Linked DNA regions of Caenorhabditis elegans. The protein of the gene in region 1 purifies or fractionates together with the protein of each later gene. This does not show direct contact. Each region holds a gene or a part of one and is shown in the gene's direction. Other genes may lie near its edges.

The links. The genes of interacting proteins can lie anywhere in the genome.
Region 2: the proteins of nfya-1 (region 1) and nfyb-1 purify together in Caenorhabditis elegans (affinity purification with western blotting, with the first as the bait; one study listed by BioGRID). This does not show direct contact.

Annotation. Positions count from the first base shown.
Region 1 is NC_003284.9:11,941,361-11,948,675, reverse strand, and holds nfya-1 (Nuclear transcription factor Y subunit nfya-1), read left to right. Parts: upstream 1-1,837; 5' UTR 1,838-1,873; coding exon 1,874-2,065; intron 2,066-2,351; coding exon 2,352-2,682; intron 2,683-2,725; coding exon 2,726-2,818; intron 2,819-2,878; coding exon 2,879-2,949; intron 2,950-3,005; coding exon 3,006-3,092; intron 3,093-3,139; coding exon 3,140-3,224; intron 3,225-3,351; coding exon 3,352-3,579; intron 3,580-3,655; coding exon 3,656-3,782; intron 3,783-3,837; coding exon 3,838-4,072; 3' UTR 4,073-4,391; downstream 4,392-7,315. Other genes in the region: F55G7.3 (BLVR domain-containing protein), read left to right, coding at 6,625-6,870, 7,099-7,249, 7,295-7,315. UniProt on the Caenorhabditis elegans protein: Component of the sequence-specific heterotrimeric transcription factor (nfya-1-NF-Y) which specifically recognizes a 5'-CCAAT-3' box motif found in the promoters of its target genes to regulate their expression and control cellular identity in particular tissue types.
Region 2 is NC_003280.10:460,109-469,314, reverse strand, and holds nfyb-1 (Nuclear transcription factor Y subunit nfyb-1), read left to right. Parts: upstream 1-1,949; 5' UTR 1,950-1,978; coding exon 1,979-2,183; intron 2,184-2,409; exon of another isoform or gene 2,410-2,466; intron 2,467-2,761; coding exon 2,762-2,923; intron 2,924-3,071; coding exon 3,072-3,272; intron 3,273-4,744; coding exon 4,745-4,863; intron 4,864-5,137; coding exon 5,138-5,294; intron 5,295-5,934; coding exon 5,935-6,011; intron 6,012-6,641; coding exon 6,642-6,741; intron 6,742-7,111; coding exon 7,112-7,302; 3' UTR 7,303-7,648; downstream 7,649-9,206. Other genes in the region: tomm-22 (Mitochondrial import receptor subunit TOM22 homolog), read left to right, coding at 635-805; W10D9.3 (MKRN2 opposite strand protein-like C-terminal domain-containing protein), read left to right, coding at 8,556-8,558, 8,992-9,114, 9,161-9,206.

The DNA of each region.
Region 1 (7,315 bases):
TCGAAAATGTAAAACTTAACATAGAATATTAAAAACATGAAAGAAAAAACCAACTTGTTATTTTTTCACATAACGTAATGGAATTTTAAACAATTCAAAAAAAATTTATAAACCAAAGACATTGTGAGAAAACACCTAGAATATTTAAGTTACAGATGACCATTTTCGGAAAACGGCAGATGGTGTGCAGCGTGCGCGGTTGCGTCGCGGCTCTGTGCACACTAGGAAATGAGAAACAGAGTCTTGAGGACTGTACGGGACCAGTTCAAAACACTAATCTGTCGTCAAACGTTGCGCCGTCTGTGCATTCAGTCACTGAGATGTTTGCGGACTTGGTTGTTTTCCTTCTTTTTTTGCGGTTGTAAAAAACAATGGAACCAAACAAAATGAAATGCCAGGTGTATTTGATTGGAAATCTTTAATAAATTAATACAATAATTTTATTGAACAATATATCATGTATTGTCTATTTTGTTTAGAAGTTTCAGAATGAACCCCAATGCTATAAATTATGTGTTGGGATCTTCTTAAATCTGATCTTAAAAGTTGAAATAAAATTTGTGTAACGTTATTTCATTGTCAGCGACGAACTACTGTTATTTTTCTCGTAATACCTCAATACATAATTAATCAGCAATTAGGGTCTTTTCAAGCATAATGCTATCCATTTTAGGTTTGTATAGCTTCAAGTCACATGAACTTTGGCAAAGAAGTGCACAGAAAAAAATTTTGAAGTTAAGTCGGGATACGAAGGAATCAATGCTAAGTTCGGCAGCTAGTGGAAGTCTCCTGTATGTTACAGATGTCCAGAAATTGCAAGATTGCACAAATGCTCTTGTTGATTTTAACTCCAAAACCAGGAAAATGATAGCTTATCCGTTTCAATTATTTTAGCTTATTCCCTTTTTTTCTGTGGAGGAATTTGAAAAATTTTCAATCAATTTCGGTTTTTTCAGGGTTCCTCCATGAGAATATTATTTTGATGTACATGCATACATCGATTTGTACTCCCAAATGGAAATAAATTGCTTCTCTGATCTGATTGTGAAGTCAAAATGATCAAATTTGAAGCTCCTTACAATTGGCCATCAAAGAAACATTTGCATTATTGTTAGCGATGTTGTAGAAATGTGTAAAATTCCTGAAAAGCGAGTGGAAAAAATCACTTGTAATAATTAAAAACTTCTTGCTAATCGCAATGATCCATTCGGGACGTTATCATCAGACACTTCCTAAATCAATTGGTTGTTGGATGCATATTCATCGTCGTGAAGAACAACCTTGGGGTGCGTACGTGCGCGTTGCGGTCACTACATTCTCTCTTCTCCCTCTCCTCTCTGGTCAACACAAATCGATACGAACATTGAGCGTGTACGTGAAGGGGAATTTGTCGTAAAATAGTGCGCATTGGTGCATTTGGTCGTCTCGGTGATTGCAGTCGTTGCTACTAGGGTTCGATACTACGAGACATTTTTGCATACTAGTTTTGCCATTTTTTTTCTGCAGAAATAGTTTTTGAACTTTGAGAGACACTAAAAGTTTAAAATGTAAACTTTTAAGTCATGAAGTTTTTTTCCACCGTTAGAATTCACTACTTCAAAATTATAAAAACCTTTCTTACTTTCTCTCATCTTTTTTTTCGAGAAAACTTTTCAATTATTCTGATTTTCTGAGAATTTAACATTTATTGAATGAAAGTTTTATTTAGACGTTTTGATTTAACGAAAATAATGTTTTACCATAACTTTGTCAATTTTCACCGTTTTATCGGAAAACCATATAAAGCTCAAATAGCCTCAAACACGGAATGTTTCATTATTGATTAATCATTTTTCATTTTCAGGTAAATCCAATCATCAAAAAACAAGACAAAATGAATGGAGCGTCGAGGGGCGACGTGCAGCGCCCCACTCCAGTTCAAGCTCCGGCAAAGCGACCAATTCCGCCTACAGTTTTCCGATTCGAGAAGGCATCCAAAATCGGGACTTCACTGGATACTACACCCAAAGAACTTCCCATAAGACGTCCCGTTCCACTACCAGGACCGCGTTTCGTGAAAGACGTGGTAAGATTAGTTTTTTTTTTCTCAACTTAAATCTGGCATAATAATTTGAAAAGTAATTTTAATTTTTCCTGCCAAATGAACTAAACTCGTCCCTTTCCGTCGATGAAAAAGTATCAAGAAATGTTGAAATGTTGACAAAAAGTAGGAGATGAGTTACACAGTAAAATTAAAAATACAATGAGATGTCATTTAATGGAGAAACAAATGTTGCTAAAACTCTGATGGTATTTATGAATCTTTTTTCGATGTAATCTCAAAGATAAAACTAACCCTATCTTGATTTCAGAACCCCTCACCTCCAGCTACTTCTTCGCCGAACGTTCAAACACAATGCCACCAACCTCCAGTTGTAAGATCTCAAACTCATCAAGCATCAGTTTCACAAACAACGCCTACTCAAACTACACCCTCTCAATATACTCCAGCTAGCGTTTCTACAGCTCGAGCCCCACAATTCCATAGATCGTCCCATGTTACACCTTCACAACAACAACGAATTGAACAAGCATTTGGCCCAGCTCCGGTTTCTCAATCACAACCACAGAACGGCAGTTATATCCAATATAATGAACCAAGCACATCGGTGGCATCTACGACTACCTCATTTTACAGTCCAAGTGAGTGAAGCTAAGTATATAATTTCAAAATTTTTATTTACAGACGAGTCTGAGCCCGTATTCACGCATGCAATATCTTTTAAACCCAATGAACCCGAGAATGGACAGAAAGCAAGGGAGCAACTAGAGTTGTTAGGTATGGTAAATTTTTGATATGTGTGTAAAGTCTACACTGTAAACATACTTATCTATTCAGATTCTGGAAAAATCAATGAGATTAATCAGTCAAAAGTTCCGACGACAATAGAACTGCCGCCAAACTGCAAGGTTAGGGAGTTTTACATTTGTATGTAGATCTAAAGTCAATTTAAATCTGTTTTCAGCTGTTTCAATATTCATGGGTGCTCGACGGAATACCTAGGACGCTTTTGGTTCCAATGCCAATGGATGCAACGGAAGAAGATGTGAAGGTTGATTATAAATTGTGAAAATATCTCCTACAAACATAGAGTTTCAGGCAATGCTTCCAAAAACGTTGGAAATGGATTCAAATCTTTTTAACAATGCTCGGCCCAGGGATGAACTACCAGTACTATCTTTCCGTAAGTCAGATATTTTTTTTCTTTTCACGGGATAATTTAAATTTACACCCAGAAAAATATATTCCGCAAAACTGCATCGGCAATAAAATTATTTTAAACGGTTCCAATGAATAATACCTTTTTTCAGCAAACGGAACAGTACCCAATGTAGAAATGATTGGTCCAAAAGTGCAACAACCCATGCTGGTCAATCCGAAGCAGTTCAACAGAATTATGCGAAGACGTGAGATGAGGCAACAGCTTGAAGCCAGTGGACGGCTCCCACTTGCTCGCCAGAAGTATCTCCACGAAAGTCGTCATCTTCATGCACTAAAACGCAAGAGAGGGCTTGATGGGCGTTTTGACAATACGAAAAGTAAGCAGATTTTCAAAAAATTGTATTAGTGGAAAGATGTTTTGAACTTGAATGTTTAATTGTTTTTACTTTCCAGCAGCCGAATCGTCATCAATGGTCAGCAGTACAACGTCTCCCAGAAAATTGAAACGCCGGAACCGCTTACCTGGTGAAGAAACTTCTGATTCGTCCTCAATAGTTCTCCCATCGCCAGTTGAAATTCAGTTAGTTTTTCTTATTTAAAATTGTTTCATTTTTCAATATGTGTGAATATTTCAGACCAAAGGGCGGGATAGTCAATTCATCGATGCCGTCGACGTCGACTGGATACATCAATAATGGCATGGATCATCAAACGGATTATATCGAGCATCAGCAACCCATGTCTACCTACGACCAATATCACGACCACGTCCAATATATCGCGCCGGATGGTAATGTGAATTACCACAACAATCATGACAATGGCGTCGATTTAACTGGAAGTGATGGACAAAGTTTCACGAATCTCTAATTTTATTAATAGCTTAATGTGTATTGCAACCGTTGCCAAACAAAATTCACCTCACCAAAATCATTCATGTTCCCTACGCTTTTTGCCACAGAAATGTACCTTCTCTTATTGACCGATCTTTTCTTCGGGATTATGCCCATTTCTCTTTCAATGTTTTCAAATTTTTTATCCTCATTATGCATTTTTTAAATCGTCATGTTGGGTTATGTCAGTCTTCAAACTATCCAATGAAAAGCTACACTTTTTTTAAAAGTATGACAGCAAAACTTCGTGTCATAATTGTCTCAAATATAAATCTGTATTGTTAAAAAGCTTCAAAATGTGCTACCACTCTAATATTGATTGTGTTCATGCAATTTGCAAACGAACATTCCCTTCATGCAAGTAAAAACATTTGAAAATTACAGTTTTAGTGTCAGCTAGCACTTTGCAGGAAACAAGCAAGGGCGGTGCCATGTGGATATAGGATTACGGCTTGATCTACAAAAATCTGACACCACATGTGATGGTAATCATGTAGTTGCTGTTCCCCAAATGCTGTTAATGAATTTATTTTTGAAATGAATAATTGTTCCGAAAATTTATTCACACAAATAATTTTTCCGAAACTTTTTCATTTCTAGGCTCAGAAATCATGATTCCTAGCAAATCTAAAAATAAAAAAAATCAGGTATTAGTTTTTCAATTTTGAAAATGTTGTGATATTTTGTGGTACGCATATTGAACAGGTTCCAATTCAATTCTGCATCCCCGTAAAATTTTTTTACTGCCACTTACTTGGAAAAAAGGGAAAAAAGAATACTAAATTTTCAATTCATCCAACAAAAAAAAAATAAAACTGAATCACAAACTGTAAAAATTTGCAATATCATGTTTGGCCATTCTCGTTGTGTTAGGTGTCATAGTCAGTCCACCAATGCGTTCACATTTGTCGAAATCACAAAGAACGACATCTCAATGTGAATCGTTGTTTTGAACACTTGTGATAAGTTCAATAAACATTTCAATAAGACATGAAAAAATAAACCACATATTATCAAAAAATATCAATCGCACAGGCCACGTGGCTTTTGTTTTTTATTTCTTTTTTATTTACGCTCTTCCCACAACTTTATTTTCAAAGATAATTTAAAAACTGAACTAAAGGTCAGACGTGGGAGGAGCGTAAATAAAAAAGAAATAAAAAACAAAAGCCACGTGGTCTGTGCGATTGTTATTTTTTGATAATAATATAATGTTACTTGAAAACTATTGTTCTAAAACAAATGTGTCTGATACAAAACTGCGAACATATTTTTTGCATAAATCAAACTTATTTAACGCTTTTATGACAATAAAAAATTGCATTGACTCACAAGACAACCCCCCAGTTGTCCCACTTCAATCCACTATAAAATTGTTTCTCTACAAATTTTACAAACATGTTTCAAGTTGTTGGCATTAGAATTTTGGGTAACACTGTTTTGGCACGCCCAAAAAAATGTTCAACCAGTTCCAACTGACAATTTTTCAACATAAAGTATGAATTGTTCAGAAACATAATAACGGCACATCTCACTATTTTTGAAAGCTCACAATGAGTTTGATTATGCATCTGAAAAAATTATATTTCGAGGTTTTTCACATACGCGTTCTAGAAAAACTTGTTTCACGTAATATATCAATTGTTAAAAACGTCATTAATAATCTTTTGATTTCACACATGACTCTCACAATAGGAGCAAAGTTAACACCCCTGACGTTTATTTTTGCAATTTTGGTAGATTTTCATTTGTTGACGTCGCAACTCATTAACTCCTCCTCACGTGTCTCCCCTATCAAGTATGAAAACATCAATTATATTTGTACACTTTTGCAATAAGTGTACCCTCTATGCGTCAAATCCACTAATGAATCTCAATTATCCATTTCGTAACTTAAATTTTTGTTCTTTTGAATTTTACACCTTGGATTTTTTTTAGCTAGTTTCCTTATTTTTGTTTTTTTTTCTCCCTATATTTCAATTTCTTATCCATTTTTTTTATTTTTCTGGCCAGCGTGGACCTTCCTTTTGCTGTGCCTGAATTGTTTCTCTATTTTCTCTATTTTGATTAATTCTTTACATTTTATGACTTGACGTTCAGAACCGATTTGCCCACAGTCTATTCGAAAGTAGTTTCTGCGAAACCACCGAAAGTCTGGTTTCGGAGTGGTTAAATTGCATTTCTGATTTTATGATTCGAGCTTATGTTGAGTATATAAACGTAAAATACCCCCAAACCGTTATTCCACCTTTAAGATCTCGGCTACCTCGGTTTTGCTATTCACCTTCGCAACTTCACACGTGTCTCCCATAGCAACTAAAAAAGCATTAATTAGCTTTCTATATATCTTCGCAACACATTCAGATGTATGTATGCGCTACATCGCCGTATTCTAACTTTTCCGTATGAACCACATGAACCACGTGGTTTATGAATCAAAACATGATTTTGCATCTGTGCCCATTCTCTTAGCTTATTTCCGTCCTGTTTTGTTGTTCCTTGATCTAAATGTTTCTTTTTCAGTTAATCATGGACCCTGAATTCTTAGACTCACAATCAGATGAATCATCCGACGACTCGTACGATCCCAGTTACAATCCAAAGCTAGGGAGCGGATTTTTATCTGTCACTAAAATTAGTGAGAAAATGAGAAAATCGCAATTAAAAGAGCGTCGACTCAGGAAGCAATCCAAAGTATCAAAATGTGCAAAGAAACTCAAGAGAAAGGTGCCAACCAGACAAATCGTTACAAATAAACCAGAAAATCTATATAAAGTGAGTTACCTTATTGGTTTTTATAATTTCTATAGACCACATAAGGAGAAAAAAATTTGCCATTGCTGCAAGTTTTATTCGTCACTTACTGAATTTTAGGGTATGACTATTTCGGTGTGATTTAGTAACAAAACTTCGCCATTAGTTAATTTCTTCTTCATACAATTTTGTAGTAGAGAGTGAATGAATTGCAAGATCTTTTTAGCTAGGTATATGGGATTCATTCAGGAACATCGTCAGGGTCCAAATACAAGAAGCAATGAGTTGTCAAATCAGGAAAGCCTTCCAATCGTGGGAACTTACAGCCAAAATATGAGCGAGACCACTGTGGAGCCCTTATTTCAAGCATCCAAGGATTTGCATATTGACGCTTCCGATGGTAAACTCAACTGTAAAAATATTTTTCACAAGATAGATTGTTCAGCAATGGACACAAACGAAGACA
Region 2 (9,206 bases), on another chromosome or scaffold:
GATTTTCAACTGGAAAAAGCCAAAATTCTTCATATTTCACACTGAAAACTCTAAATAAAATCAATTTTCTTTCAGTTTTCCTCTAATTTCTGTTCTAAATTATAAAAATTATCGATTTTTGCATTAAAAAACCGGAAAATCAATAATTTGGCAATTTTGAACCGAGAAAAAGTTGAAAATTTGCCTATTTTACACTGAAAACTCTAAAAAAGATTCAATTTTCTTTCAGTTTTCCCGAATTTCTGCTCTAAAAACTAAAAATTATCGATTTTTGCAGTATAACATCTAGAAAATCAACAATTTGACAATTTTAAACTGAAAAAAAGTAAAAATTCGGCCTTTTTTATTTGAAAACTCAAAAAAATCTTATTTATTCCTCTAAAAACCAAAAATTATTGATTTTTGCTATAAAACACTCGGAAAATCAACAATTTGACAATTTTTAATAGAGAAAAAATTAAAAATTTGCTTATTTTACACTGAAAACTCTAAAAAAGAATATGTTTTCTTTCAGTTTTCCCGAATTTCTGCTCTAAAAACTAAAAATTATCGATTTTTGTAAAAAAATCTCAATTTGACAGTAAAAACTCATATTTCACACTGAAAACTCCAAAAAAACTCAATTTTCTTTCAGTTTTCCCTTACAAAAAGCACAATTTGGGTTGTATCTACAACGTCATTGATCGCCTTCCTTCCATACATTATCGAAAAGGAACGAAGTGATTTGGAAAAGACTCAAGTGGCTCAGCAACGTCAAATGCTTCTCGGACCATCTGCGGCCATTCAACAAGCCAAAACTGCTTGAAAAACTTGATTTTCTCGCCGAAAATCCCCCTTAAAACCGTCTGAAATTGATCTTTTCCTAGATTTTCCCCTGTTTTTCGTCTTCTGATAGCTTTTTTTGCGATAGAATTCATTATCATATAAATTGTTGATTTTCTAACATTTTTCAAGGATTTTTCTAGCACAATATCCCGGTTTTTTCATCCAAAACTTGTATTTTTATCGATTTTTTTGACGTTTTTCACTTTTTCCAGGTAAAAATCCGAATTTTAAGCTTTAAAAAGCCTTAAAAAACACAAAAATTGCAAATTTTCGCGCTGAAAGTCGCATAAAATTGAATTTTTATAATTTCTGTTCGAAAAATCTTCAATTTTTCGCTGAAAAATTTTTTCCCTGGCAAAAATTCAAATTTTGGGTCTGCTAGGCTACAAACTACAAATTTCGATTTAGCAGACCCGATTTAGAAGAAAAAACGAAGAGTTTTCAGTCTAAAAAGCTTGAAAAATAGCCTTAAAACTTGATTTTTTCGCTTTTTTATTGAAAAAAAACAAAATTTATCATTTTTATCCCAGAAAATCGCTGAAAACCCCGAATTTCGCCTATTTTCTTCGTTTTCACCCAATTTTCTTCAAATTTTCGCAATTTTCAGCTCATTTCCATTATCTAAATTTTTTGCAGCACTGTATTCGGGTTATTTCATCCAAAATGCGTATTTTTATCTTTTTTTCTTGTAGTTTTTCACTTTTTTTCAGGCAAAAATATATGAGACATCGAATTTTAAGCTTTAAAAATGCTTAAAAACACAAAAATCGTCAATTTTTGCACTAAAAGTCCCAAAAACTTCAATTTTTCTAATTTTTATTCGAAAAATGTTCAATTTCTCGCTGAAAAATTGCTTTAAAAAAATTTAATTCTGAAAATTTTTGGTCTGCTAGACTACAAACTACAAATTTCGATTTAGCAGACCAATGTGATTTTTAAGAAGAAATTACGAGTTTTCACTTCGAAAAGCTTGAAAAATGGTCTTGAAACTTGATTTTTCCTGTTTTTTAATCTAAAAAATTAAAAATTTAGCATTTTCAGCTCGGAAAATCGCTGAAAACCCCGAATTTTTGCTATTTTTCCTTGTTTTCACCTTATTTTCTTCAAATTTTCGCAATTTTCAGCCCGTGTCCACCGTCTAAAAGCTCCCAAAATGGATCCAAAACCCATAAACGAAGGAATGTTACTGGAGGATCATGATCATGGAATGCCTGAAGAAGAAGAAATAACAGAAGATGATATGAATGGAATTCATAATATAGAAGAGGATACACGAACAATTAGTGAAATAGCAATGGAGCTTCATCATCCGAATAAAAGTCAAGTTTTACTTGATCAGGAACGATTTTTGCCAATTGGTATGGGAAAACATGCGGAAATTTTGATGAAAATCGATAAATTCCCGGAATTTTACACGAAAAATTGAAATTTCTTGAAAAATCTAGACTGAAAAGTGAAAAAATTCATAAATTTCCGATAAAAACCGCCATTTTTTCTAAAATTGCCCTTTAAAATGAAAAAATATCACATGGGTCTGCTAAATCGAAAATTGTAGTTTGTAGTCTAGCAGACCAATTTTGTTCAAAATCACTTTGGTCTGCTAAATCGAATTTTGTAGTTTGTAGTCTAGCAGACCAAACTTCTTCAATATCTATTGGTCTGCTAAATCTAAACTTGTAGTTTGTAGTCTAGCAGACCAATTTTGTTCAGAACAACAATGGTCTGCTAAATCGAATATTGTAGTTTGTAGTCTAGCAGACCAATTTTTTACAATTTTTTTTTCAAAAACATAAATTTTCGACAAAAATCGATTTTTTTTGTAATTTTTTTTTCAAGAATTGAAAGTTTCTCTGCAAAAAGGCATCAAGCTCGAGATTTTTCAATTTTTTTAAAACAAAAATCGTTGAAAATTCTCCAAAAATCCCAATTTTTTCAGCTAACGTGGTCCGAATCATGAAAACTCAAATGGATCCGCAGGCGAAATTGGCAAAAGACGCAAAGGAGTGTGCTCAAGAGTGTGTTTCAGAGTTTATAAGCTTTATCGCTTCGGAAGCCGCTGAAATATGCAATATTACGAAGCGGAAGACTATTACTGCAGGTAAAACCGGGAAACTCCGTCTAAAATTACCCGCAAATCGTCCAAAAACTACAATTTTCGCATGGAAAACCTTTTTAAAAACTCAAAAACAGCCCAAAAGCCCAAAAAACCCTAAAAACCGCAATTTTCAATATAAAAAAATTTCCAGACGACCTGCTCACCGCGATGGAAGCCACAGGATTCGACAATTACGCGGAGCCAATGCGAATTTTCCTTCAAAAGTACCGTCAGGCTCACAAGATCACTGGACCAATTCACAGAACACACCCAGACTACGTACGGCCTCCACAATTTCAAATGGATCCTTTTGTTCGGCCATTATTCTTCGATACGGAGCAAGGACGCAGATGTTCGTGTGTGAAAATCGGAAAATTTTGCCTGAAAATAGATTAAATTGATGGAAAAATAGAAAAAAAAACTGGAAATTTGACTGGAAATGGATTAAATTTATGGAAAAAATAGTAAAAAACTAGAAATTTCACAGAAAATAGACTAAATTAGTGGAAAAAAATAGAAAAAACGAAATTTGACAGAAAATAGACTAAATTTATGGAAAAAATAGTAAAAAACTAGAAATTTGACAGAAAATAGACTAAATTTATGGAAAAAAATAGAAAAAACGAAATTTGACAGAAAATAGACTAAATTTATGGAAAAAATAATAAAAAACTAGAAATTTCACAGAAAATAGACTAAATTTATGGAAAAAATAATAAAAAACTAGAAATTTCACAGAAAATAGACTAAATTTATGGAAAAAATAGAAAAAACCGGAAACTTGAAATTTAGACTAAGAATTGTTTTTTTTTCAAAGATTGAAGTACTGAGAATGATGATTTTTCATTTAAAAAAATTGTCAAAACTCTGAATTTTTTGCTGAAAAATATTCAGAAGCCGAAATAATAGTAAAAAAACGGTGAAAATTGCATTTTTTCCACATAAATCTCAAAAATTCATTTTTCAGTTTTTTTCAACTACAGTATCCTTTGAAGTCATAGAAAAAATTACAAGATTCGCAGAAAACTCGAAAAAATCATAATTTTAACGCTAAAAACTTAAAATTCAGAATTTTTGGCTTTTAATTTCGGCTTCTGAGTATTTTTCAGCAAAAAATTTAGAGTTTTGACACATTTTTAATGAAAATTATCATTCTCAGTGCTTCAAGCTTTGAAAAATTAATGGGAAGAATAGTAAAAACCTGAACAAAAATGGTTTTCTCTGGAAAAATTCCTAAAAATTTTTTTCAGAGCTTGAAGCACTGAGAATGATGATTTTCCTTTAAAAATTTGTCAAAATTCTAAATTTTTTGCTGAAAGTTGCACAAATTCTTAATTTTGAATTTTTAGCGTTAAATATATGATTTTTTCGAGTTTTCTACGAATCTTGCAACTTGTTCTATGACTTTCAAGGATACTATAGTTAAAAAAAAACTAATAATGCATTTTTAAGATTTATATGGAAAAATTGCAATTCTCACCGTTTTTTTCCCAAAATTTTGAATTTTTCGCGAAACTCAGCAGCTTTGCATAGTAGTTTCAAGCGACTTTTTTTCGGAAAAATACCGAAACTTGCTCTGAAAATGCCATATAACTCCTATAAGGATTACTGTAGTTTCTCTACAAAAATAAATTTCTGTGACTCATGTCCTTCTATCCAAATTGATGGCTGGAATATCGGTATTCTCGGCTGAAACATGCAATAAATACCGTATTCCAACCAACAATTTGTGCAATAGAGCACATTTGTCACCGGAGATGCGGAAGCTATGCCCAAATTTTCAATTTTTCTAGGAAAATGATGAAAAAAATTGCAATTTTCCAGGTACCGAGACTCAATACGTGATAAATGGCAGTGAAATTGTGAAAAATGCTCCATTGGGAGAAGAATGGAATGAGCAAACTGGTACATTGAATACCCGCGCAGATGGATATTATATGGAGGTGAAAATTGGATTTTCTGGATGGAAAACTGTGGAAAAATGGATTTTTCCACTAAAAACCTGAATTTTTAACTCAAAAATTGATTTTTTTAACTCAAAAATTGAATTTTTAATTCAAAAATTGAATTTTTAATTCAAAAATTGAATTTTTAACTCAAAAATTGAATTTTTAATTCAAAAATTGAATTTTTAACTCAAAAATTGAATTTTTAACTCAAAAATTGATTTTTTAACTCAAAAATTGATTTTTTAACTCAAAAAATTCGATTTTTCAGGAGCCAATGGAGCCGATGCCGATGGAAGAAGTAGAAATTGAAGAACACGAGGAAATTATTGAGCAAGATTCACTTGGAGCCATCGCCTTGGAGCAACAAGGCCAAATGCAGATTTATGTGGATCCAAAGACGAAACAACATTTTGCAGCGAAAGAAAGTACGGAATTTTTTATGAAATTCTGAATTTTCCAGCGTGAAAATTGGAAAAATTGAGAAAAATCGATTTTTTTTTGTGAAAATTCCGGAAAAATCGAAGTTTCGCCGATTTTGTGGCGTTTCCAGAAAATTTCTCATTTTTTTCCTTAAAAATTAGAAAAATTAGATTTTTACAGCACAAAAAAAACAGAAAATTGAAATTTTCTTGATTTCCAGCTCAAAAATTGGAAAAAATGGTTTAAAACCGATTTTGAACGGAAAAAATCTAGGAAAATCGATTTTTTTTTTGGTGAAAACTTCAGAAAAAATCGAAATTTCGTCAACTTTTGTGGATTTTACTGAAAATTCCCTATGTTTGCCGTAAAGATTAGAAAAAATTGGTCCAGATTTGATTTTTACAGCAGAAAACTAGAAAATTCAAATTTTTTTTGATTTTTAGCATAAAAACTCGAAAAAATTGGTTTTAATTTGATTTTCTACCTGAAAAATCCGAGAAAATCGATATTTTCCCGATTTTTATATTAAAATTTGTGAAAATTGACATTTTCTCGATTTTTCTGAAAACAATTGTGAATTTTCTCGATTTTCTGTCAAATATCTAAGAAAATGTTTTTAAATAATTCCGGAAAAGCAAATTTCAGCTCCGAATGGCATGGAACTCTACCCTCTGATCATCCAGGACACCCCACTGCAATTGGAAAATGTTTCTGGGCCAAATGTACGATTTCCAGCACTTTTCACAGCGAATTTCAGATTTTTAGTGCGAAATTCGAATTCAGCGCCTCAATTTACCCCCAGAACCCTGTTTCCCCGTCTTCTAGCTCAACATTTTGAATATTTCGGGTTACTGTAGCCCCAAGAGTACGCAAACACCGACTACTGTAACCCAAAGCACCAGATTTTACGGCATTGGCGAATTTCGAGCTGAAAATTGATTTGACGGGGTAAATTGGAGTGCTGAATTCAAAAATCGTATTTAAAATTTCAGAAAATTTGATTTGAAAATCGGAAATTTTGAAATTTTCAGACAAATTTTTTTTTGGGCAAAAACCTTGTAATTTTGAAATTTTAATGCGAAATTCGAATTCAGCGCCAAAAATTACCTTCATTTTCCTTTTCCCCGTGCTTCTAGCTCAAAGTTTGAATATTTTGGGTTACTGTAGCCCCAAGAGTACGCAAATACCGACTACAGTACCCCAAAACACCAGATTTTACGAAATTTGCGAATGTTGAGCTGAAAATTGATTTCCCGGGGTAAAATTGGAGTGCTGAATTCGAAAATCGTATTGAAAATTTCAGAAATTTTGATTAAAAAATTTTTTTTGTTCGAAATTTAATATTTTTTCAGCAATTCGTTATGAATATGCCAGATGGACGAGCAATACCCCACGGAATGGGACAAGAAGAGCCTCAGCCAGTGTCAAGTAGCTCAGTTATGCGGAAAATCGGTAAAATATTGCATTTTTTAGTGATTTTCTGTTCAAAAATGCTGAAAAATGGAGATTTTACTGGTTTTAATGGGAAAAAATCAAGTTTTTAGCATTTTTGAGCCATTTTAATCGGGAAAAAAGTGATTTTGAAGCATTTTAACCCCAATTTTCCAGTTTTATAAAATGAATTTTCCGATTAAATAAGTGTTTTCATGTATTTTCAGCTAATTTTTAGTCTTTTTTAATCGAAAAAACTGATTTTCAGCCAATTTTTCTTTTAAAAAAAGTGATTTTAGGCATTTTTGGCCTATTTTTACCTATTTTGCATATGTTTTTTTCAGAAAAATGAAATTTTTGCACATTTTCAGTCAATTTTCCCGATTTTCAGGTCAAAATCCGTCTTCCTATGCCCAGCAGCACCACCACGTCAGCCACGTGGAACAACACGATGACGTGGAATATGAAGAAGAAGAAGAAGTAGATCAAGTAGAGGAGGATACAGTACCCGTTCCAATCGCGCCGAGACCCGCAGCCACCCGAGTTCAGCCGAAACGAACGCCGACGAAGAGGAAAAAGTAGAGAAAATTGCAAAAAATGATAATTTCTCGATTTTTATTGTATTTTTCGCATTTTTTCACCCTGAAATCCCAACTTTTTGAGGAATTTTTAAAATTTTGCACTGAAAATCACCATTTTTACCGAATTTTTTATTGGATTTTTTCTCATTTTCCCTCAAAACTGAATCTGAAAACTGCAATTTTTGCAAAAATTCAATTTTCCAAAATTTTCCATTTTTCATTGATCTCCATCGTATCCATTTCCTTGACAACTTAACATATACAATTGTAATTATTTTTGAAATATTTATTCATTTATTTATTTATATCTCTAATTTATTGCAAAAAAATAAATTCAATTATACCCCAATGCCTCAGTTTTCACTTAACCACCAAAAAAATTCGTTTCAAATCGATTTTTCAATTTTTCCACACTTTTCCCATTGAATTTCAAATTTTCAATGCGAAATTCGAATTCAGCGCCTCAAATTACCCCTATTTCCTTTTTCTCCCGGCTTCCAGCTCTAATTTTAAGAAAATTGGGGTACTGTAGCTCCAGGAGTACGCAAACACTGACTACAGTACCCCAAAACGCCTGATTTTACGACACTTGCGAATTTTGAGCTGAAAATTGATTTGACGGAGTAAAATGGGGTGCTGAATTCTAAAATCGTATTAAAAATTTCTGAAAATTTTTATTTGAAAATCTGAAATTTTGAGATTTTCAGAGAAATTTTTTTTTGAGGCGCCAAACTTGTAAGTTTGAATTTTCAATGTGAAATTCGAATTCAGCGTTAAAAGTAACCCTATAGTCCGTTTCTTCCGGCTTCTAGCTCGAAATTTTAAAAATTTGGGGTACTGTAATCCCAAAAGTGCGCAAACACCGACTACAGTACCCCAAAACGCCAGATTTTACGACATTGGCGAATTTTGGGCTAAAAACTGATTTGACGGGGTAAAATAAAGTGCTGAGTACGAAAATCGTATTGAAAATTTTTGAAAATTCGATTTGAAAATCTTAAATTTTGAGATTTTCAGACAAAATTTTTTTTGGCAAAAAACTTGTAATTTTGAAATGTTTAATGTGAAATTCAAATTCAGCACCTTAAATTGGCCCTTATCCCCGGTTTCCCTGGTTTTCAACTCAAAAATGAGAAATTTTGGGTTACTGTAGCACCAAGAGTACGCAAACACCGACTACAGTCCCCCAAAACACTTGATTTCACGACATTGGTGAATTTCAAGCTGAAAATTGATGTGACGGGGTAAAATAGGATGGTGAGTTCGAAAATCGTATTGAAAATTTTTGAAAATTCGATTTGAAAATCTTAAATTTTGAGATTTTCAGACAAAATTTGTTTTTGTTTAAAAAAAAATCGAAAATTTCAAATTTCAATGCGAAATTCGAATTCAGCGCCTCAAATTACCCCTATTTCCCTTTTTCCCCGGCTTCCAGCTCAAAAATTGAAGTTTTGTGGTACTGTAGCTCCAAAAGTACGCAAACACCGACTACAGTACCCCAAAACACTTGATTTTACGACATATGCGAATTTCGAGCTGAAAATTGATTTCACGGGGTAAAATGGGATGCTAAATTCGAAAATCATAATAAAATTTTTTGAAAAAAATTTGAAAGTGAAATTTTCAGATTTTCAGGCAGAAAATATTTTTCCGATTTTTTTGAAATTTTTGTTTCAAAATTAATTTACAGCCCCCCAACAAAATGTACATATCTACAGTAAACCATATCGGGTGCACCACACGATTTCTCCTTGTAGAACCACTAAATTTCAAATCAAAATGCCCGGATTGTCAGGCAAAAATCGAGAAAAATGTGAGAAAATCTGGAATTTTTCATAGAAATTTTTGGGTTTTTTCAGGAAAAATGGACGATTTCAAGGCTCCCATGCCCACTGGCTCAGTCAC